Linked DNA regions of Tribolium castaneum. The protein of the gene in region 3 purifies or fractionates together with the protein of the main gene of each other region. This does not show direct contact. Links are inferred from orthologs where the notes say so. Each region holds a gene or a part of one and is shown on either strand. Other genes may lie near its edges. The genes, in order: TIP41-like protein, mitogen-activated protein kinase kinase kinase 7, PpV, serine/threonine-protein phosphatase 6 regulatory ankyrin repeat subunit A, CCT2 and polo.

What was found.
Region 1: the proteins of PpV (region 3) and TIP41-like protein purify together in Homo sapiens (co-immunoprecipitation; 4 studies listed by BioGRID and IntAct, with this or other methods). This does not show direct contact. The link is inferred for Tribolium castaneum from reciprocal best matches to the Homo sapiens genes PPP6C and TIPRL.
Region 2: the proteins of PpV (region 3) and mitogen-activated protein kinase kinase kinase 7 purify together in Homo sapiens (affinity purification with western blotting; 3 studies listed by BioGRID and IntAct, with this or other methods). This does not show direct contact. The link is inferred for Tribolium castaneum from reciprocal best matches to the Homo sapiens genes PPP6C and MAP3K7.
Region 4: the proteins of PpV (region 3) and serine/threonine-protein phosphatase 6 regulatory ankyrin repeat subunit A purify together in Homo sapiens (affinity purification with mass spectrometry; 9 studies listed by BioGRID and IntAct, with this or other methods). This does not show direct contact. The link is inferred for Tribolium castaneum from reciprocal best matches to the Homo sapiens genes PPP6C and ANKRD28.
Region 5: the proteins of PpV (region 3) and CCT2 purify together in Homo sapiens (affinity purification with mass spectrometry; 4 studies listed by BioGRID and IntAct, with this or other methods). This does not show direct contact. The link is inferred for Tribolium castaneum from reciprocal best matches to the Homo sapiens genes PPP6C and CCT2.
Region 6: the proteins of PpV (region 3) and polo purify together in Homo sapiens (affinity purification with mass spectrometry; 4 studies listed by BioGRID and IntAct, with this or other methods). This does not show direct contact. The link is inferred for Tribolium castaneum from reciprocal best matches to the Homo sapiens genes PPP6C and PLK1.

Annotation. Positions count from the first base shown.
Region 1 is NC_087402.1:4,517,998-4,521,087, forward strand, and holds TIP41-like protein, read right to left. Parts: upstream 1,797-3,090; 5' UTR 1,650-1,796; intron 1,595-1,649; 5' UTR 1,589-1,594; coding exon 1,410-1,588; intron 1,363-1,409; coding exon 1,183-1,362; intron 1,131-1,182; coding exon 911-1,130; intron 864-910; coding exon 549-863; 3' UTR 501-548; downstream 1-500. Other genes in the region: eIF5B (eukaryotic translation initiation factor 5B), read right to left, coding at 141-212, 261-307; TWiK family of potassium channels protein 9, read left to right, coding at 2,139-2,294, 2,526-2,799. UniProt on the Homo sapiens protein: May be a allosteric regulator of serine/threonine-protein phosphatase 2A (PP2A). Isoform 1 inhibits catalytic activity of the PP2A(D) core complex in vitro. The PP2A(C):TIPRL complex does not show phosphatase activity.
Region 2 is NC_087399.1:3,650,993-3,655,033, reverse strand, and holds the start of mitogen-activated protein kinase kinase kinase 7, read right to left. Parts: upstream 2,801-4,041; 5' UTR 2,668-2,800; coding exon 2,587-2,667; intron 2,543-2,586; coding exon 2,243-2,542; intron 2,197-2,242; coding exon 1,765-2,196; intron 1,717-1,764; coding exon 1,489-1,716; intron 1,406-1,488; coding exon 1,330-1,405; intron 1-1,329. Other genes in the region: putative ankyrin repeat protein RF_0381, read left to right, coding at 2,843-3,458, 3,503-3,891. UniProt on the Homo sapiens protein: Serine/threonine kinase which acts as an essential component of the MAP kinase signal transduction pathway. Plays an important role in the cascades of cellular responses evoked by changes in the environment.
Region 3 is NC_087400.1:5,275,289-5,278,317, forward strand, and holds PpV (serine/threonine-protein phosphatase 6 catalytic subunit), read left to right. Parts: upstream 1-1,320; 5' UTR 1,321-1,483; coding exon 1,484-1,651; intron 1,652-1,699; coding exon 1,700-2,255; intron 2,256-2,302; coding exon 2,303-2,493; 3' UTR 2,494-2,529; downstream 2,530-3,029. Other genes in the region: pre-mRNA-processing factor 17, read right to left, coding at 55-269, 321-867, 918-1,046; RpL7A (large ribosomal subunit protein eL8), read left to right, coding at 2,681-2,695, 2,819-2,933, 2,986-3,029.
Region 4 is NC_087401.1:12,715,591-12,719,793, forward strand, and holds the start of serine/threonine-protein phosphatase 6 regulatory ankyrin repeat subunit A, read right to left. Parts: upstream 2,801-4,203; 5' UTR 2,653-2,800; coding exon 2,626-2,652; intron 2,580-2,625; coding exon 1,357-2,579; intron 1-1,356. Other genes in the region: spindle assembly abnormal protein 6 homolog, read right to left, coding at 4,084-4,148, 4,194-4,203. UniProt on the Homo sapiens protein: Regulatory subunit of protein phosphatase 6 (PP6) that may be involved in the recognition of phosphoprotein substrates. Involved in the PP6-mediated dephosphorylation of NFKBIE opposing its degradation in response to TNF-alpha.
Region 5 is NC_087397.1:1,023,515-1,027,756, forward strand, and holds CCT2 (T-complex protein 1 subunit beta), read left to right. Parts: upstream 1-1,456; 5' UTR 1,457-1,605; coding exon 1,606-1,608; intron 1,609-1,764; coding exon 1,765-2,074; intron 2,075-2,346; coding exon 2,347-3,638; 3' UTR 3,639-3,742; downstream 3,743-4,242. Other genes in the region: Sqor (sulfide:quinone oxidoreductase, mitochondrial), read right to left, coding at 1-227, 271-601, 647-717; chromosome partition protein Smc, read left to right, coding at 3,849-3,957, 4,003-4,104, 4,151-4,242. UniProt on the Homo sapiens protein: Component of the chaperonin-containing T-complex (TRiC), a molecular chaperone complex that assists the folding of actin, tubulin and other proteins upon ATP hydrolysis.
Region 6 is NC_087398.1:11,004,490-11,007,807, forward strand, and holds part of polo (serine/threonine-protein kinase polo), read right to left. Parts: intron 1,494-3,318; coding exon 1,096-1,493; intron 1,044-1,095; coding exon 826-1,043; intron 1-825. UniProt on the Homo sapiens protein: Serine/threonine-protein kinase that performs several important functions throughout M phase of the cell cycle, including the regulation of centrosome maturation and spindle assembly, the removal of cohesins from chromosome arms, the inactivation of anaphase-promoting complex/cyclosome (APC/C) inhibitors, and the regulation of mitotic exit and cytokinesis.

The DNA.
Region 1 (3,090 bases), on a different chromosome or scaffold from region 3:
ATAGAATGAGTCAAATTGAACCAAAAAATCCCAAACAACGTGAAATTGCAGCAAAAACTACGTTTTTACAGCTGAAAATATGCCAAGTGTTTCGCAACAAACATAACCTCAATGGAGTGACAAAAACTCCAAATACTTACTTAGAGGCTTTACTTTTTTTGTTGTTTGCTTTGTCGGTTGATTCTTGCGTTTCTACCTCAGGCTCAGACTCACTAAAAACGTTTTAATCATCTAAATTGACATTTTCTGTTGATTTGTACCTGTCGTCGCCTTTTGCTCCTTTGCGATTTTTTTTCGCTTTGCCCATTTTGTAAACTTACGTAAATCACTAGTACAGACTTTATTAGTAAAAATTATCATAAGTAAACCAACAATTGTGAAAAATTTTAACAATCTGGCATGAGGTTTATAAAGGACATGCTTCAATTTAGGGACTTTAGTTTTGTCCTTGACCATAGGATAATAGAGAAGGTTGGGGATTTTATTTTTTATGACACAAATTTTGAATTTCAAAAAATAATTTATTAAATGCACTTATTTACAGAAAATTAGTCGTTTTTGCTGGTACTTTGCATGGAACACTGATCTGCGGCCCCTTCTGTTGGTGGTTTACATTCACCAAAAATCAATTTCTCGTTAACTGCAGTCCTTACAGGCATATGGGGGGATAAGACATTTGGGTTTCCAAAAACATTCAGTGGTAACTCGACATCCCCAAACGCGCATTCCTTGTTTGTGAATTCCCTCAGGATGTAGTTTGTGCTAAATTCGTGGTAAAGCCTGGTATCATTTACTCTTAACATAACGTTATCTACCCTTAGAAAAAATCTGAGGAGAATGAAGTAAGAACTGGGCATTACTCGCTAAAAACACACTTAAACAACAAGCATTGCATAACACAACAAATTACGATTTTTATAGTGCATGAAGAAATCCCATTATCGTGTAACTCATCCTCATAAAGCATTAACTCTTGATAGAACAAAATCTTTTCCTTTTCCTTTAGTTTCTCAATATTGATCCGTTCCTCAGTTGGCACTACTTGCACAGGACCGGTGATTGTCCCTTTATAATCATTGCTAAACGTCCAATCAAACGGTTTAATTTTTTGGCTCAAATGCTCAGGTGGCCTGAAAAAACCCAATCAATTTTTTCCCCCTCAATAAACTACAATTTTCAAACCTTGACTCACTCCACTCCTCGGAACAAGCCACTTTTATGGGCAGTTTTCCATTGGCGACAGTTTTAAGCGCATCCAAAGCATTAAACTCAATTTGCCCCCCTGAACTGTGTGTAAGAGTTAAAACATTATTTGGAAACACCATTTCAGGCAAATGCGGGATATCCAGAGTTCGGGTGTATCTTAAGCACAAAAATTAGCCCAAACTTTACCTCATTTCCAAACTTACAAGCAAAGTAAACAAGGTTCTTGTGACAGGTCTTTGCATTTTTCTGCACTCGTACAAATCGAGTGTAGAATATGCGATTTTTTGTACTTTATCACCCAATCATGAAAAATGTGCTCTTCGGAGTTTACGGGTAGTCTTTGGATATCAATTTCGTTTTTATTTGGGGTGACTGCAGACATTATAACCTAAAAAATGACTGACTTGGAGACAGTGACAAATTTGACGTTTGCACCGGTTTACCTCAATTTTAAGACAAGGGACTTGTCTTTAATTGTAAAAAATGGACCCTGTGTTCTAATATCTCACTTTACTCAACTTTGAATCGTTTTATTTGCGTCCTATAACAGTGCGCTTGCGCCAGACGCAACGCATCAGCGCCAAATTTAAAGTTTGCAAAAAAATGTTTTCAAAAAAATTACATAAAATTCGTGTTTTTTGCTTATAGCCTTGATATCGCAGATTAACTTAAAGTTAATCAATTGTACGCAATGCAATAAAATAAACTTGAAAATTGGTAAATCATTATTCTGTTATTTGTTTTGATTCGTTGGCCGCCCCATTATCGAAAAAGCCGTCCCCGGAATGATAAAGCATCATTTGGGAGCGCTAAGCGCATCTGTATACTTCCAAGATTCAGTATCATAAAGCGTCGCGACGCTTTCGCGTCTAGTTGACTCCAGCCCAGCTTCAAGGGTGATGTGTTCGTGTTTGTGATTTTTGTACGCAACCATGGACGAAATGATGGAAACTACGGTTTACATAAGCTCTCCCATGGACTTTAAAACACGTTTTAAAAATTGGTGGAAAAGACTGCGCTTGAAAGCCGCCCTCCAACACATCGGGCTTTTGATAACTCTCATGGGGTACACAGTCGCGGGGGGATTGGTACGACTTTTGAATCAATTTACTTAATCGCGAAAGTTTCAAATAAACGCGATACCAGACCGAAGATCAAGTTTTTATTGGTTGAAAAAGTTTCTTCGTTAGTGCTTTTCGTGTCTCGGGAAATAAACAGCCACACAATTAGAAATAAAACAAATTTACGCAAACTATTCTTAACTAAATTTAAAACGAGCAATTCAGCCCACTTTCCTTGTGTAAATATTTCTCTTTCAGATTTTCCGACGTTTCGAATATCCTGCTGAAATTTCACGACTTAATCATTTCAACAACACGCTCTTGCTGAAAAGAGAGAATTTTATACAACAGATTGTAAATAACACCGATTTGAAAAATTTTGATTACTTTATATCGGGCGAATTGGAGAATTACGAGAAAATTCTGCAAAGTGCGTGCAGAGAGGGAATACCATTATTTCCCAAAGAACAAGTTGCGAAATGGACCACGTTGAAAGCGGTGTTTTTTTCATCGACCGTTTTAACGACCATTGGTAAGTAAACAGTTTCACCACTCGACTCGAGAGACCGTAATCAGTTAATTTCCGCATTAATTTGTTTGCCAATTAAACAATCAATCATTTTTCGCGAATTGTAGTCAAATAAAAGTGGTCCAAACTCGTTAATTCAGAGTTATGGTTTCACTTCCGTTTTATAAATGAGAAATCGAAAACGTGCTACATGTTCGAACACAGGATTATTGCTGAAAAATTCAATCCTAATTTAATTGAATTATAAACACGTTGTTATTACACTGGCTCAAGTGTTCCAGGGCCGTAACGAAC
Region 2 (4,041 bases), on a different chromosome or scaffold from region 3:
GTCATCGATTATTAGGTCGGAAAGGTCGGAAAATGCAACAATAAAACCATCATGCTTGTGACAACAGAACCGGGAAACATTCACACAAAGGGTTGAAAATTTTTTAATTACAACTACGGTCTGCCGCCATCGTCCAGGTGTCCGTTCGCCACGAATGCACTTCCGGACGTGCGATTTCCATGCCATTACATCACAAACTCGATTAATTACACATCCGTCCTTTCAAAAATAAAAACGTGACTAAGAAGATTGTGGCCGAATTTATTTTAGTCCTTCCCCGGCTACTTTACGTAAAAATAATCCATCAAAACAATTACTATTTACCGTTATCAGTCTTGCACTCTTTGAAAATGATCCAACTTCGGTGGCTCTCATGCGTGGTGAAAACGCTGGCTCTCGGACAGTCACACATATCGCACGAAAAAAATCAAGGAAAAATCTCAAACGGTACGAAACATGATGAGATTTCGGACAGGATCGATAGGAACGTGTCGATTGTTTATGTTCGGGGGCCACTCGAAAAACTACGCGAGACTACCAGCCGCTGGAAAGAAACTGGCAACGGCCGCATGGGTGCGACTGAAATAGCGATACGGGGAAGACGCCAGGGACAGAGCAAGGCGCTGCCAGCGACGGACTGCCCAAAACTTTCGTCCCAACGTTTTTTGAAAAATATGGGGCAAAAGTTTGATTTTTTTTAAATATAGTTTACAACAAAAATTTTGCACCATGTCCTACAACCATGAATAAGTGCGCTCTCTGGCGACGAGAACGTTTTATTCGTCCATCGTTTCGCATCCTAACTTTTAGTCGTCCGTAGTCCCAAGCCAAAATTTGGAATTGTTTCTGCGGAAATGGCCTTAGGCAAGGCCTCAAAGCGCGTAAAACCTGCAAATAGCCGCCTTTTCCGCATTTCGGAGGCCGGTGGTGAATTGGGGCCAGGCCGTCCCTGGCAGGCCGATCAAGAAACTTCCAACTAAACAAACTACTCTAAATCGGTCTCGCTGAGTCAGCGCGTCTAAAAACAGATGCCCCTTCGTTTCGCACGTATTTAGGAGGAGGAACCGGAATTTCGGCCAAATCGAGCTTAAAGCGCCGGACCTGCACGACTTTAAGGTCGCAAAGCGATAAAAATACCGCGACGAAGCCGTGCAGACAAGTCGACTCGGCTTTGATCTTATTTTTATTGGTCCGTGTGTGACTAACACTGCGACAAATAAAAATTATAGCCCCTCGAGTGTTTTCAAGAATTGCAAGTTGTTGAGTCATGCACTAAGCCAATGCTCTCGGCTAAATTTACAACGAGCCCACAAGAACAACACAACCTACCGTTTTTTGGTACCATCTTATCAAGGCCGGGCATGGTTCTCAGCTGCATGTCGAGATCGTGTAAATCCCATGCGTCCTGCAACAAACGACTCAATTAATCAATTTTACTCATTTTCTATTAAAAGACAATTACGTCATGCGACGTAAAAACCGACTTACAGGGCTTATTTTAATGTTGAGGGGCCGCGACATCTCGGCACTCGGCTGGGGCAGCGATTTGACACAATTATCGCCGTTGGTGCTGGCGGGGAACTGGTCTATTTCCTCCACACAGTCCTCAAACTCTTCGATTTCCTCCTTGTAAACCACATCGTCACCGCCCCTGATCTGCAACGGCTCGTCGGCGCCCGGAAGCAACGAGCAAATAACTTCCATTTTTTTCACAATCTGGAAGCCAAACTTTGACTTTCCCCACTCAAAAAATAGTGCACTCACCTCCTTCATGCTCGGCCGCTTGGCCGCCTCCTGATCCCAGCACTGTGTCATCAGTTTTTCGATGACTGGGGGGCAGTGCCTGATGAGAGGGGGCCTCCGGCCGCTGTGCTTCGCCCACAAGATCATGAAAGCCGAAGGGTAGCCCGACTCCTTAATGTGGAAAAAAGGCTTAAGTCGCGATAACACCTCCCAGAGGATTATGCCCCAGCTGAAGACGTCGCACTTTTCCGTATAGTTTGACGTTTCAAAGACCTCGGGGGCCATCCACGCGGCCGAGCCTTTGTTGTTGGTCATGATTGCTGTCATGTCTGTGGCAGTACCAAAGTCGCATATCTTTAGCAAGGTGCCCCCGTTTATCAGGAGCAAGTTGGGCGGTTTGAGGTCTCTGTGTATCAAAGGTTTGGGTTTCATGCCATGGAGATACTCGACCCCCTGGAAAACCGAGTTAAGAGTGTGTCGGTGCGGCTTCGCCCCTTACTTTGGCGCACTGGTAGAGCCAGGACATGGCGTTGGCCATCGTGTAGTGTACGTTAGGTGCGTGGTGTAGAATATTGAAGAGGGAGCCCCCTTCGGCGTACTCCATCACAAGGCAGATGTTGGGGCCCTTGGTGCAGGCCCCGTACAGCTTGACAATGTTCTCATGCTTGACCCTTGACAGCTGCCGGACTTCCACAATAAAGGCGTCTTTGTCGTTCTCAGAGACGATGTTTTTGACCGCCACGAACGCATCGCGCCAGATTCCCTTGTAAACGACTCCAAAGCTGCCCTCACCGACTGCCTGAAACCACAATGTGTCGGTGGCCACAACCAGGGCTACTTTACCTCAAGCTTCTGAATTTCATTGTAGTTGATTTCCTCGACGGTGTACTGACATACGCTACCCTCATTTTCCGAAGACGCCATCGAAATACCGAAGTAATCACATATTTGGCCACAGAGCGTCCAGACAGCCCCAAAATTACGAAAAATCTCGATAAATATCAACCACCATAAATTTGGTTATGTATCCTTCAGATCAAGTGTCACCTTCGGCTCGAAAATCCCCAGCCGTGTTCAAAACTCGGCGCGAGTGTCAATCATGTCGAGCGAACGGGATTTACACAAACGGGGGCACCAGGGCTTCAAGAAGCGAGTCGAGAGTGACGTGATGAGCAGTGTGGGCAAGAAAGTCCTAGAGAAGAAATTCTTCGTTGCCGTTTACTCCCGGAACATTCCTGAGATAACAAAGTGTTTGAGTAAAGGAGTAAACCCGAACATTCGCTCCACGGAGTACGGTGTCACCCCTTTGCATTTACTCGCCGAACGGAACGACTACATCCTGGGGTACCGCCTTTTGGAGTATAAAAAATTTGACGTGGATGTGCGGAACGCCCACGGTTACACTGCCCTGCATGTTACCTGCTTATGCGACTGCAAAAAATTTGCCCTTCTTTTGCTGGAACACGGAGCCGACCCCAATATTTACGGCCGGTTTAATAAAACAGCCCTGCATTTATCCGTACAGAATGAGAATTACGGTATTACGATAAAGTTGCTAAAATTCGGGGCTGAGGTCAATGTTGTTGACTGCTTTGGCAATACGCCCCTCTCTTTGAGCATCCTAGACACCAATAATTACCTAATTGCCAAAACCTTGTTCCAAAGTGGGGCCAATATGAGCGTCGAGCACCAAAGACCACTCCATATTTTTTTTGGTACTTGATCATCCAAACGAAAAAAGTATTATTAAAATTTGCAGAAATGGTGTTGTATTGCCGCTGCATTCGTCAGATTGATTTGGTGCTGCTCTTGTTGGAGAACGGGGTTAATATTAATATGAGGGAGCCCGACTCAGGGCGCAATTGTCTCCACTTTGTTGCGGTGACCGGTTTTCTGGAACTGGCGGTGGTTTTGGTCGAAAAGGGGGCTAAAATCCACGTTGTGGATAGCTGTAAGCGCAGCCCCATTAAAGTGGCTGTGGACCACGGTAACGAAGTGATCGCCGATTACTTCCGCAAGGGCTACAGACCCCCGCCTTTGCTCACCGCCCTCCCGAAGATCTTCCAGTGGTCTAGCAAGGTCCGGGCGCGAATCAGCGAGCGGAAGCTGGCGGAGATGGAGAAAGAGGCCGAATTGAAACAAAAATAAACAGATCATTATGCACAATTTATTAATATTACGGAATACAACATTCAATAAATATATTGTAAATATTATACTGACTGACTTTTTGAGAGTTAAAACATATAAACATCAATAAACTAGTAACACAGATAGACTTTAAACGATTCAAAAACG
Region 3 (3,029 bases):
CTATTCGGTGCTGCCATCTTATTCAAATTAAGAATCATAGGCCACTAGACAGACCTTAATTCTGCAGTCCATGCTAGCAGACAGTAACAAATGAGCCGTTCGGGGGAACCACCGAATGGCCGCAATTCCTTTCGAGTGCCCCGACCACGTATGAATATGTGCTTTCGGAAGGAAACACTTCTCCGGGGGGCTGTCCGATTTCAAATTGACACCAACATCTTGAGGTGCATGTAGAAAACTCCTTCCCTGATAATCCACAGCGTCTGAAACTGTAACAAAACCAGCAATTTTCGCAAAATTCACCCAATAGTCACTCTTACTGTGCAAAATTGATTTTTCCTCGATTGGTTTGTCTTCTGTGGGTTTCCCCTTCTTGTTCTTTTTCGACAATAATTCGTCCAACTCTGCTGCCTCCTCATCAGACGGCTTCATGACCCTTTGTTCGTCCACAAAACCACCCCAGGGCCCCAAAAACCCCTCAATATCGCTCGGGTCGTTATTCTTTTTACGTTTTCTCTTATCTAAAGGTCTCAGCTTGGTTGATTCAAACACTGTTTTTGCTTCCGGGTCAATATCATCGCATTGGCCAGTCGTTGTAACAACTTTGGTGCCTTCAGCGGCACTGCCCACAGTGGGGTCCAGAGCGTAACCAAAACTGTTAAACGTCCGTCTTTGGTTTTCGAATTGGAACTCGTTCACATACGCTGGCTCAACGTAACCCGAAAGTATGTTTCGGGTGCATTGTTGCTGCTGGGTCTTGAAGGGGTTCTCAGGGCCCACCATGGGCGAGAACAACTCCTCGTATTTGGGGTTAAAAGTCACTTCCTGGGCGCTGGGGTCAACGTGCTGGATGCACTCTTCAGACCCCTAGAAGGCATACATTTAGTAAAAATACGCTAATAAGGTAGATCACGCACCGTGGGTAACACGACAGGAGCCGCACACACTTGGAGTTTGTTCTTGATTGAAAATTCGGGGTCCGCTGGGGGCTCCTCAGGCTTAACCTCCTCTTCGTCACTGTCTCCGTAACCTTGCAACGCCAGCATTTTGCACAAATGCAATACTCAAGTCTCAAAATGTGTAATTTGAATCAACTTTTAACCTAAAACACTAACAACTGTCAACTGTCAAAAGCAAACCATAGAGCGAGGCTGGCGCCTATAGATAATTATTTTTCCAATTATTTTAAAATTATAAAGACATGAAAATTGCCCGAACACCGGGAATTTAATTTCAGTTTAGTTAATTTTTCAATTTTCGTCGAAATTTAATTAATTCATTCGGTGGGTTCGTCCGTTTGTACGTCTGTGGTTTTCAAATTGTCATTTGTCACTTGCAAACTGTCACATCTTTTTGGTTATCTTCACTCCAATTTACCAAATTTCGGCCTTTTTGCTATGTTTTATGGCATTATTTGCCGCAAGACGTTGATTATTGCCGGGCTTTGACGTTCAATTGGTGTTGGAAAAGTCGCTAGACCAACATGTCTTCAGAGCTGGATCAATGGATTGAAATCGTGAAAGACTGCAAGTATTTGACCGAAAACGACTTGAAGAAATTGTGCAGTATCGTATGTGATATTCTTTTGGAGGAGTCGAACGTGCAGCCCGTCTCCACTCCTGTGACGGTCTGTGGGGACATCCACGGCCAGGTGGGTTTTGTGCGTCCCCTTGGCTCAGTTTACAGTCGCGTGTTTTAGTTTTATGACCTGGAGGAGCTGTTCCGGCAAGGGGGCCAAGTCCCTGACACCAATTACATATTTTTAGGCGATTTTGTCGACAGGGGGTATTACAGTCTTGAGACTTTTACTCGATTGCTCACTTTGAAGGCGGCTTATCCGAACAAAATTACTTTGTTAAGGGGGAACCATGAGAGTCGACAGATTACGCAAGTTTACGGTTTTTACGACGAGTGTCTGACTAAATATGGCAATGCTAACGCTTGGAAATACTGCTGTTCTGTGTTTGATCTGCTTACTGTCGCTGCGTTAATTGACGAGAAAGTGCTTTGTGTACATGGGGGCTTAAGTCCGGATATTAAAACGGTTGACCAGATTCGGACTTTGGAGAGAAATCAGGAAATTCCGCATAAAGGTGCCTTCTGTGATTTAGTTTGGTCGGACCCTGAGGATGTGGACACCTGGGCGTCGAGTCCCAGGGGGGCTGGGTACTTGTTCGGGGCGAAGGTCACTCATGAATTCATGCAAATTAACGCGCTCACATTAATTTGCAGAGCTCATCAGTTAGTCCACGAAGGTTGTTTTTGGTGTTTCGTTTTTGCGATAATTTAATGTGTCTTTCAGGTTATAAATACATGTTTGATGATAAGCTGATAACGGTTTGGTCGGCCCCCAATTATTGCTACCGTTGTGGCAACATTGCAAGTATTTTGGAATTCCAGACCACGGATAAAGTCGAACCGAAATTATTCAACGCCGTACCCGACAATGAACGAGTTATTCCAAGTAGAAGTGTTACTCCGTATTTTTTGTAATTTTATGACGCTAGTATCAATAAACAATTTTCAAATTTGGCGCCTTTCTCATCGTCGCACCTGCGCACTGCTAACCTAATCATCCATCTTTTTCCAAGTGTCGTCTGTCAAGAGATAGGCCACATTTGCGTATTTCTGTAGATATTCGAATTATCTACAGTCATCTTTGTTAAATTTCACTCGAAAAATGGTCCAAAAGAAAGTAAGTCGCGTGTTTTCATTGATGGGGCCCTTATTTTCCATATTATTTGGCAAAATTCGGGCTGGGATTGACATAACCTACAATCTTTGTTGTGGCATATTTTAACCGTGTTGGTGGTTTTAGCCGAAGAAGAAGACCGGTAAAAAGGTGGCGGCGGCCCCTCTTGCCGTGAAAAAAGTCGAACAGAAGAAGGAGGTGAACCCCCTTTTCGAAAAACGCACGCGCAATTTTGGCATTGGTACGTACCCCTTAACCCAGCTAAGGCCCCTTTAAACTTAAGTCCTAACCAGGCCAGGACATACAGCCCCCTCGTGACCTGTCCCGCTTCGTGAAA
Region 4 (4,203 bases), on a different chromosome or scaffold from region 3:
AAATTCTCCTTGACTTCCTTTGACTGGGAAAAGAGGGAAGGGAAGACAGAAAAACATAAAAAAATAGTAAATAAAAAAAGACCGGAATGACAACAGCAGTGGGATTTGAGAAAGAAGATGAAGGAAGGAAGAGTAGAGAATAGCGATATGCAAACCAAGAATACAAAAAAATAAGAAAAAAGATTCTATAACCTATGTTCAAAAATGCTCTCTGATTTACTTTGACTGAGAGAACCGGGAAAGGAGGACAGTAAATAGAAAAAAAAATAAAAAAGACAGGAGGAATAACAGAAGTGGGAATTAAAAAAGAAGAGGGAAGGAAGAGGAAGGAAGAAAGGGTAGAGAACAACAATACGCAAACCAAGAACATAAGATATAAGAAAAAAGTTTCTACAGACCTATGCCCAGAAATGATTCCTGAATTTCTTTGGCTGAGAGAACATAGAAAGAAAGAGGGTAAATAGAGAAAAAAATAAGTAAAAAAGACAGGAGGGATAACAGAAATGGGATTTAACAAAGATGAGAGAAGGAAGAGCCGACTACAGCGATACATAAACCAAGAACAGGAAAGATAAAAGTCTGATAGAGAATTGAACATGGAAATATAAAGAAAAAATTAAAAAGATCAACAAAAAATAAGTGAGGGTAGGAAGTAACCTATAGACGAAAGAAAAGAGAAAAACAGCAAATCAGAAGAAAAAACCCGTTTTTGTATAAAATAGTGCGTCGTACAGATAATAACAAAAACAACATTTTGTAAAGAAAATTACCCAATAAATCTAAAGCTGCCACAAAAATTTACAAAAAGTTTCTTCCAAAACAAAATTTTACGCCTCTTGAAAAAGGACCCTTGTCCGCAATCTTCAGGAGGCTTTACCCCTCTCAAGAATATTTCAGTTCTTAACAAAAAATGGCAATAACGTATTTGTATTCTTTGGAATAATATAAAGCACAAATTCAGAGTTTCTGTATAAGAAAAGAATTCTCTGTTAAACAGAATCCCAACAACAAATTTAAAGCTAAAAGAATTCGAAGAGAAAAATAATTTTGATAATAACATTTGTTGCTTAAGATTAGAAACAGTCTATTTGTTTTTTTTTCCTTTTCTTTTTTCTCATTTTCACATAAAGAATCTCCATAGCATCATCCTCCATAGTATAATAATTTTAATTTAATTTTTTAATCAGACTCGTCAAATCTTGAAGTTTTCTTTTCTCGATATTTTTTATTTAATTTTCATATTTTATGTATTCGTTAATTATATTTAAAATTTTTACCTTTTGAAATACATATTAATAATTACTCGTATTACTCGTAAGTTAAAATCAATCCATTATTTTTTTCGACTATTCTTACCCTTTATACGCTGCGCAATGAGTTGGCGTTTTCCCCGAATCATCCACAGCGTTTAAATCCACCCCAGCTTGCAGTAACTTCCTGCAACACTCTACATAACCGGCCAAACAGCACATATGAAGGGGCTGCCTCCCTTCGTAGCCCCTCTGTGAGGGATTAGCCCCATAAGACAACAATGTATTGGTCAACAAATCGTGCCCATACCTCGCCGCAATATGCAAGGGGGTACAATCATTCTTATCGGGACAATCAATCGTCGCCCCCTTGTCAATCAAAATCTTACTCCTCGTAAACCTCCCATGTATTGCCGTCATATGTAGCGGAGTCCTACCATCGAGACTCTGCCTATTAATATCAACCTTTTGCGTCAATAACAACATCATGCAATCAACCCCATTCGTGCTAACCGCAGCGATATGCAGGGGCGTCTGCCCCCGATAATTCACCGCTTCGATATCAGCCCCCGAGTTGATCAACTCCTGGCAGACCAAATGGTGTCCGTTGAGACACGCAATATGCAAGGGGGTGTTCCCGAAGACATTCTGCGCGTTCACGTCAGCCCCGTGACTGATCAAAAGGCGGCACACGGCGTCTGTGCCCCCGGCCGCCGCCACATGCAAGGGGGTGTACTGGTTCCTGTCTTTAGCGTTAATCTCAGCTTTGTATTTTAACAACAGCTCGATTATGCTCAAGCTGCCCACCTGCACCGCCCGGTGCAGGGGGCGGCAGTCCTTCTTGTCGTACGCGTTGACAATACAGCCCCCCGAAATGAGGAGTTCCACGCAATCGGCCATTTCGCTGTAGGCGGCGAGGTGCAGGGCCGTGCGCCCCCCTCTGTCGGTGACGTTGGGGTTGGGCACGTGGTTGAGCAACTGCTCGATGCATTTGTACGCCCCGTTGGCCGCCGCCACGTGCAGGGGCGTCTGCCAGAGCTTGTCTCGCGCGTTGACGTCGGCGTTATTGTTCAACAGAATGGACACTGTCTCGCTTGAGCGGATGTAGCAGGCTTGGTGGAGCGGCGTCAGCCACTTGGTGTCTTTCGCGTTGACTCGGGCCCCGTTCGAGAGCAAGACGGAGGCGATTGCGGCGTCGCCGGTGAACGCGGCCGCGTGCAGAGGAGTGCGCTTTTTGCTATCAAGGCAGTTTACGTCCTGTTTCGATTTAATCAGTTCTTTGTATTTCTCGGGCTCGCAGCCCGCGAAGATGGCCTTGACGATGGGGGGCTGACAACATGGTTAACATAACCTCACTTGGGGGGACTTCGCTTACCTGTTCCTCCAACTGGTACAGTCCCATTGTTAGTTACTTGCAACTTAAGGCGAAACATGAAATAAGGGGGAAGTGGTTAAACCATTGCGGAATAAATTAAAATTATCTACGTAAACTTAAATGTCAAAATAATGTCAGACGTCAAATGGTTGGTGGGACTGTACTGGGGTAAAATATTAACAAATTAATTAATTTTTCTGCAATTATTGTTTAAATTAAACTGCTTGCTTAATGTGGTTTTGTTCCAAAAATTTCATCAAACAGTAACAAGTTGGTCGATTAAAAGTAACCACCACTTTTTAGTTTTTTTTTTAGAATAATGTCCAATATTCATTCAAAATTCATTAGTGGTTTAGATTTTCCATCAGTTGGGCCTTTTTAAATACCTCAGATAATTAAAACATTCACAAACATTCAAATTGTTTAGTGTTTTTTGCAACTTGCACTGTCATGTTGGTACGTGATATTGTAATCATCCGCCGATTGTGCGCCGCGTCTGTTTTGTGATTCTAGAAAAATTTGAATTCAAAAGTTGTGTAAGAGATTTAGGTTTGTTTTTAAAGCGTTAATAATCGCTGTTAGTTTGTGTGTGAATAATTATTATTGACTATTGTGGCAGTGTAAGTGAATATGACCATAATATGACCGTCTCCTGGAAATTTGAAGACGCCAGGATGCCGAACATGTTACAACAATCCTCAGGTAAATGTCCTGTATATTTTTATTTGTTAATTAACGAAACTTTAAACCTAAACACTTGACCGGCTCAAAATGCGAAATAAAAAACGTAAAACTTTCAATTTTGTGGCGTACTACTTGTCAGCGCGCAATATCGTCGTAAGTTTTATTTTACCAATTAATTACTCGCGAAATAATCGTGTACAACTCTAATTACAAACACACAATACAGTTTTATTTTCGCTGTAATGGTATCTGAAAATCCAGCTATATAAACATATATTGCATCCTTTGCTTCAATTTTGTAAAAGCATGATCAAAGCATGGCCAACTAATCAAATGTAAGTTAGCGGTGGCAAAAGATGGCTTTGAAATCAAGAAAAACAGTGTGGCCAACATGAAGCTGAACAAAACAAATCTTAATGTTAACTTCAAATTATGAAAAAATTAAAGTCGACAAAATGAGCACTTTACTAATAGAAAACGGTTCAGTAAAAAAATTGTGCAAACTCAATATCTCCAAAACTATAAATTGTGGAAGAAAAATGATGACATATTTGGAATCCTCAGACAATTTTACGCCAAAAAGGCGCACTTTTGATATTGTCCTCTTGTTGATTTTTTTATTGGGATATCATATTGACTTAGTTTTATTGAGATTATTATAGTACCAAAAATAGATAATTAACGAGGTACTAAGTACTTTCAATTAATTTAATTTATTACCACACATTTGTAACATTTTTTATTTGTATCAAAAATTAATAACAAAATACAGTACTACGAGAGAAAATTCCTTCGTGGAAAATCAACTGACGCCAGTTTTCTCGTCAGCAGCTCATTCACTGAAACCACTGTTTAAAATCGTAATAGTACCAGAAAAAACTTACATTTTGCAGT
Region 5 (4,242 bases), on a different chromosome or scaffold from region 3:
ATTACGTTCGCCTTATCTCGCTTGCCCACCTTTCTCAAAAAATGATCAGTGATGTAACAAATTTTTTGAGGCGCCCCCGGACATTTAACCGGGCTGTTTGGAAACGTGAAAATAGCATTCCCGTTTTCAAACTTTTGTAACGCCCTATACGTCCCTTCGACGTACTTTGCCGAGTAATTAGAGCACACCCCTGTGTCACTGTTTAAACCAGCGACTAGACCTGGAATCTACTTGCAAAATTTAACGCCACTTATTTACTTATCAACAAACTTTATCATAATCGGTTTGAAGACCAGTGGCGACTAAAAGAAACTCGTATTCGATTGTATCGCCATTCTGGGTCGTGACGGAATTTGACTGGGGGTTGAATTCGGCAGCTGAGTCTTTCAGCCAAACTGCGTTTTTTGGGAGAACCTCTTTTGTATTTTTCCTTGCATCAGAGAGACTAGAAATGCCGCCCCCAATTAAAGTAAACAGAGGCTGATAGTAGTGATTTTCGCTGGGTTCTAGGATTATGAGCTCGTTCTTTTTGAGGATTTTACTGAATTTTGCGGCCGTGGCACAGCCACCGGTGCCCCCACCCACGACCAGGACCTTGCAACTAAAATTGATTTCGCAATGTTTACTCTAGCAGAAAAACACAAACCTGTGTTTAGCATTGTTAAAGTTCGAGGTAGAAAAGCCCCGCTTAGCGACATGCGAAAAAAACACGTTCATTTTCTCGGTATTTGTTCTGCAAATACCAGGAACAAAAAATTACTTATTAATTAACTATTTTTTACAAAACTTACCCAAAAAGAAATAAGAATGGAAATCAATAAACTATAAAAAACTTTTTGCAATGATTTTCTTATCGTGAATAATGAAACGTTTGATGAGATAAAGAACTTGACTTTAAATAACAAGTAGAGGGAGAGTGAGTGAGTGTTGAAGAATCTCTAATGGAGGTGGAGAGCTTTCCAATTGGTTACGTGAAATTTGCGGCATTACATTAATCAATCAGTTTTAATCAATCTTTTTATCAAAATAAGGTGGGACACATTACGGGGTTCAAGTGGGGGTTTCCTAAATAAACAAGTTTATCAGAATTCAAAGGAACTCCATGAGATTAATGTCAATTTCTGAGCTCTTAAATATTTAAAGATAAAGATATTTGCATATCTTTTACGCTAAATTAATAAATAGCCAATTTTGATAAAAAGTCGACCTAACCTACGAAAAAAAGAATGAAGTGATAATATAAAAATAGTGTGATTTCTAGTGTAATATACACAAATTAGTAATTGTAATGATTGGAAAATATGATTATGACAATAAATATTCGTTCGTATAATCAAAAACTTACGAAAATCAAAACTGGCGCTTGTAGACTTCCACCATCTTCAAAAACATGTTAGTGTTTTACGTTTTTTCGGTGTGGTGCCCTTCGCTTAACTCTATCTCACTTTTACACGAACAAATTGAATTGTTTCATCTCTGTCCCCCACATTTATTTAGTGCATTTCGCATTTAGTTTTTTGACAATTGACAGTGTAGTCAGTGAGTGAGACGGTTCCGTACATAACTCGCAAATATAAGCAAAAAACGTGAAAAAACCACACAAAAATGGTAAGTTTCCCCAATTCGCCCTCGCGTTTATCGCCCAAATTGCGCAAAAAATCAAAATTCGCCGAATTTCCACTCAGACCAAACAAAGTAAAACCAGGTGTGTCATGGAACCGGCGAACCCACGTGCCTCATTTTCAAAGAAATTCTCCCTTTCAGGTCTCGTTAAACCCCGTGCGCGTGTTGAAGCATGAAGCCGAGGAGGAAAAAGCGGAAATTGCCCGCTTGTCGAGCTTCGTGGGGGCGATTGCAATTGGGGATTTGGTCAAAAGTACGCTGGGGCCCAAAGGAATGGACAAGATTTTGGTGTCCAGTGGCAGGAACGCGGGGCAGGTTGAAGTTACAAATGATGGGGCCACGATTTTGAAGTCGGTGGGGGTTGATAACCCCGCAGCCAAAATTCTGGTTGATATGTCCAAAGTGCAGGATGATGAAGTGGGCGATGGGACCACCTCAGTCACTGTCTTAGGTATGGTTTGAATGACTATTTTACGAAATTCGGCGTAAAGTAGCTCTTTTCTGGACTCGCATGTCAATTTCACAAATTTCTATTGTTTAAAGACTTACTTATTTTTTTTTTGCTCCAACATTCTAATTGTAAGGTTTAATAACTTTTGAGACGAAATTAAAAATACGCTTGGAACAATAAAGAGCAAATTTTTTCCTGGCATTAAGTTTCACATATTTTTTAAAGTTAACTAGTTATTAAATTGGTTATGCAAAGAACTAATTTTGTTTCAGCTTCTGAGTTGTTGAAAGAAGCGGAAAAGCTCATAGACCAAAAAATCCACCCACAAACAATCATCGCTGGTTGGCGTAAAGCTGTAGATGTGGCCAGGAAAGCGTTGCTAGACGCCTCTGCTGATAACAGTTCGAATTCGGAAAAATTCCGTGAAGATCTGATGAATATCGCACGAACGACTCTCAGTTCGAAAATTTTATCTCAACACAAAGAACATTTCGCTAAATTAGCTGTTGATGCTGTCATGCGTTTGAAAGGTTCCGGTGATTTACAAGCCATTCAGTTAATTAAAAAATCGGGAGGAACCCTTGAAGAGTCATTCTTGGACGAGGGTTTCCTCCTCGATAAAAAACCAGGCGTCCATCAACCGAAACGCGTCGAAAACGCCCGAATTTTAATCGCCAATACACCAATGGACACCGATAAAATCAAAGTGTTTGGTTCGCACATCAAAGTGGATTCTATGGCGAAAATCGCCGAGTTGGAGTTGGCCGAGAAGGAAAAAATGAAAGACAAAGTAAACAAAATCCTCAAACATAACGCCAACGTTTTTATTAACAGACAGCTAATTTATAATTATCCTGAGCAATTGTTTGCCGATGCTGGCGTTATGGCGATCGAACACGCCGACTTTGATGGCATTGAGCGTTTAGCTTTGGTCACAGGTGGCGAGATCGTCTCAACGTTTGACAATCCTGACCTTGTAAAGCTTGGCAAATGCGATTTGATTGAGCAAGTTATGATTGGTGAGGATATTTTGCTGCGTTTTAGTGGAGTTCCTCTAGGGGAGGCTTGCACTGTTGTGATTCGTGGAGCGACTCAACAAATCATAGACGAGGCTGATAGGTCGCTTCATGACGCTCTTTGTGTCCTTGCGGCTACAGTTAAAGAGAGCCGAATTGTTTACGGTGGGGGCTGTAGTGAGACTTTGATGGCTGTGGCTGTGAGCAAAGCTGCAGCCAAGACTCCGGGTAAGGAGGCTGTGGCGATGGAAGCCTTCGCGAGGGCTTTGCTCCAGTTACCGACTATTATAGCCGATAATGCAGGGTATGATTCAGCTCAGTTGATAAGCGAGTTGAAGGCGGCTCATAACAGTGGGAATGTTACGGCGGGGCTTAATATGGAGACGGGGGAACAGGGCGATATGAGGGCTTTGGGGATCACGGAGTCGTTTGTTGTTAAAAGACAGGTTTTGTTGTCGGCGGCTGAAGCAGCAGAGATGATTTTGCGTGTTGATAATATTATTAAAGCGGCACCGAGGAGAAGAGTCGAGGATAGGGGACACTGCTAATTCGTCAAACTCACTATTTTTACTTGCATTGTATTAGTTGTACAACTAAGTTTTTTGATGTATTTGTATTGATCCATTAACACGTAATAAAACGCTTTCATTTATCGGTTTTGTCACACTTCATCCTCCTTCCGGATTTAAATAGGTTAAGGCTAAGTAAACAGAGAAAAATTCCTTATCTCTCGTTGTATTTGATAAGAGGTATTCATTATGTTGCTCGGAGACGTCTTAATTCTTTTTCTTGTTATTCTAATTACCATCACAAGCTCACAAAAATGCCCAGTTTGCCAGCCGAGAAATTTCATTGAAAACGAACAAAGTGAGTAAACTGCGTATCAATGAATTACCTACATGCATTTTTTAGAATGTGTTTGTCCACAAAACGAGTTTTGTAGAAACAATAAAAAATGTCAAAAGTGTGATCACAATTACACAACTTGGAATGACCTCATCAAGCTACGAAAAGGTGCACTTCAATTTTTTGTTTTCTCATTTATTTAAACACGTTTCAGGCGAGATTCAAACAATTTTCAGTAATTTAATCAAAAGGTACGAAATAAATGTAAACGAACTGAAAACTCTATTGAATACATTTGCCGAGAAA
Region 6 (3,318 bases), on a different chromosome or scaffold from region 3:
ATTAAATTGGTTTCAAAACTTGACCTGACCTGACCTGATAACTCTGTGTACAACCCATTACTTTTTAGTTTTATTAAATACTAAGCTGCATTTCATTCTAATTCTCAATTTTAAATTAACAACATACAATTATCAAGCCAACTATTAAGTCAAGTCTCTGATGCATTCTTAATCTTTTTGTTTTTTTTTCTGTCATCTGTTCAATTTATTGTGTTATTGTTTATCATTTTCTTAAGTTTTTAGTTCGGCGTCAGTGTACAACTTATTAGAATAAATTAACAAATATTTTGACCCAATTAGATTAATTTTTCAGCTCGGTATATTTAGGAAAGAAACTCAGAAATTTAAAAAAATATAGAATTGACTACTTCTTTAGGAAATTATAACATATTTCACTTATTTCAGGTTATTCTTGGCGAAATTTCGGTTAAAAACAATAGCAGATTAAGTAAAGTCTTTGATGTGTTTTTAATCTTTTTTTATTTTTCTGTCATCAGTTTATTTAATTGTATTATTGTTTATCATTTCTTCATCAGTGTACAACTTATAACAATAAATTAACCAATAAAACTACATAATAATTCGTACAGATTTTGAACAGATTTTCGAAAATATCAATGATATAGTTCTAAAATTCTCTCAATTTTATTTATAAAAGGTACTACGTTTAGAAACAGTTGAATTTCGCCAATTTCTAGCAAAAATGTAATGTAACTTTCAAAAAAAAATTCTAATGAACGGTTTACTTATAAAGATGGGTTAAACTTTGCCCAGAAAGCTTGAGAAATTGTGTGATTTTGACGAATATGAGAATTTGTCCCTTACCGTTGTTGATTCCACTAAGCGGTTTCCTCATCGACACGTCATATTTCTGGAACCTGGGTGCCATCGTCAGACTACTGACCGGCAACGAAGACGGACAATACCCATCGGTAATAAACGGGTGTTGTAGCAATTCGGTTACTTTTGGACGCGATTTCGGATCTGACTGCAACATGAGCATAATCATGCTCTTCGCCGCTGGAGAAATAGTCGTCGTGAAACTAAAATTCAATTTTTAAAACAATAAAAAATCGATAAATCCCTTCAACGCACTGATATTCGCATTTCTTAATCCTTGAGTACGTTTCTTTAAGCGAACGTGTCTCAAACGGTGGTTTGCCCACCAGGAGTGTGTACATGATGCACCCGATGGACCAGATGTCCACTTCGAATGAGTGGCCCTTCTTTTGGAGGATTTCCGGTGCGATATAGTTCGGAGTACCACAAAGGGTTTTTTTGCGTTCGCCTTCGTATTCTATCGTTGCGGCTAAACCAAAATCGCCGATTTTCACCGTCAGTTCATCGTTGAGGAAGAGATTGCCGAGTTTGAGATCGCGGTGGATGATGCGCCTCTGGTGGAGGTAACTTACTCCGTTCAGGATTTGACGCATGTAGAAGCGAGTTTCGGGCTCGGTGAGCATTTTTCGGCGCTTTTGCAACTCCATCATAGACTACAGGAAAAAATAACCGAAATTACAGCACATATTTCAATGCATTTTTTTTTGGTATATTAAAAATTCGCTCATGGCAAATCAAAGAATACAAATTATCAGAGATAATAAACTGGTTGTGGTTTTGAAATGATTACAATTTTACGTATAAGGTAACAAAACACGGAACAAAAGTGAAGATGATTCAATTATTAATTCACTGGTTACAAAATTTCACTTTTGTCTGTTGCCGTAAATTTAACAGTTGATTGTCCATCAGCTCGAGTTTTTATTTTAGGGCTTATGAAGAGTGTAGAAAGTGCTAATAGGAGCTACTTATATCACAAAAACTAAAGGTCGTAGAAAAAAATATCTCGCCACTTTTTAATTATATTATTTTTTTGCTATTTTAACGTAGACTTACTATGTAAAATAATCTGGGAATCGATTAGCGTCGAGAAAATGGAAATGTTCTTAATAATTTACTAATAAATTTAATAGAGTTACGTGTATTAATTCCGGAGTTATTGCCCGATGAATATCAAAAACTCGTATAAATATTCACACTCAAGTTTCAAACAGCAATTACGGCAAAACTAAAAAAAGTGGTATTGTTTTACTGTAAACAAATGTAAAATGATCTAGGGAATCGATTATTTTCTCGAAAACTAGCATTAATCGGAGGAAAATCATCTTTTTTATTAAAGATACATTTAAAACTGTAGGCAGTTTTGAAATCAGCGTCCAAGAACAGCGAAAAAAATCTGACGCAACAGAAAAGTTAATGTCTAATTAAAGTTGTGTCCTTTTACCTCAAAACTAGAACTGAAAGAAAAAATCTGTCTGCAGTTTTGAAAACAGCGTCCAGCAATTACTTACTTATCAACAGCAAAAAAAATTAAAGCAACAGATGCTTAATGCAACGGTTGCTGCAGAATAAGCGCGAAATTTTTCCTTGATTTTTTGGCTTTTTGTTGACAATTTTGTGAAATAATAATTAATAACAACGCTTCTGCATTAAAAACGTGCCAATAAAACCCAGAAATTAAAAAAAAATTCTTTTTTTGCCCAATTAGGTCATTTTTCTGCTCAATATATTTATGTAAGAAACTCAAAACCCTGTTTAAAAAATCAAAAAAAATGGCAATGACTCCGTTTTTGAGAAAATTATAACATTTTTGAGATAATTTTACAAAAAATTTCGCTCAAGAACCAACAAAATCGAGTGAAACAGACACAACATCATCCATCATTTTTATTTTGAGTTTTTTAAATCAATAAATGAGTTTCAGGTTCAAAAACGAATTAAATTGACAAAATAAGATCAATTTGTAATTTTTCAGTCCATTTTAGTGAAGTTTTTCGAAAAAAAACTTAGTATGTCAACCAGTGGCGTAAGGATACCAGTTGGGGCGTGGGATCCAAACTCATTCGCGGGCCCCCATTACAGCCCCCATTCATAATTTACCTTAATATTCACCCATCTTATTTATATTCTACAAAAATTCTATTTTAAGAGTATTATTAACTTATTAGCCTTTTTTGTAAAAAACTAAAGTTTTAAATTTGAAATAAAATTAATGAATTAAAAAAAAACATTTTAAAAAATACAATAATCTTTACTTCTTGTAGCTATGTCTGTCCTGTGCTCTAAGCTCCAGTTTAGTTGAATTGGTTGGCAAATTTACAGATTAAACTTTTTTCACTTTCTTTTACAGAAAAACTGTCAATTTTTGGTAATTTCAGCATTATATCAGATAAGTTTGTAGCTACTCATTTTACACGACACTTAAAATATAAATTTTAGGTAAATAAATTGTTAAAATAAAGTACGACAATTTACATC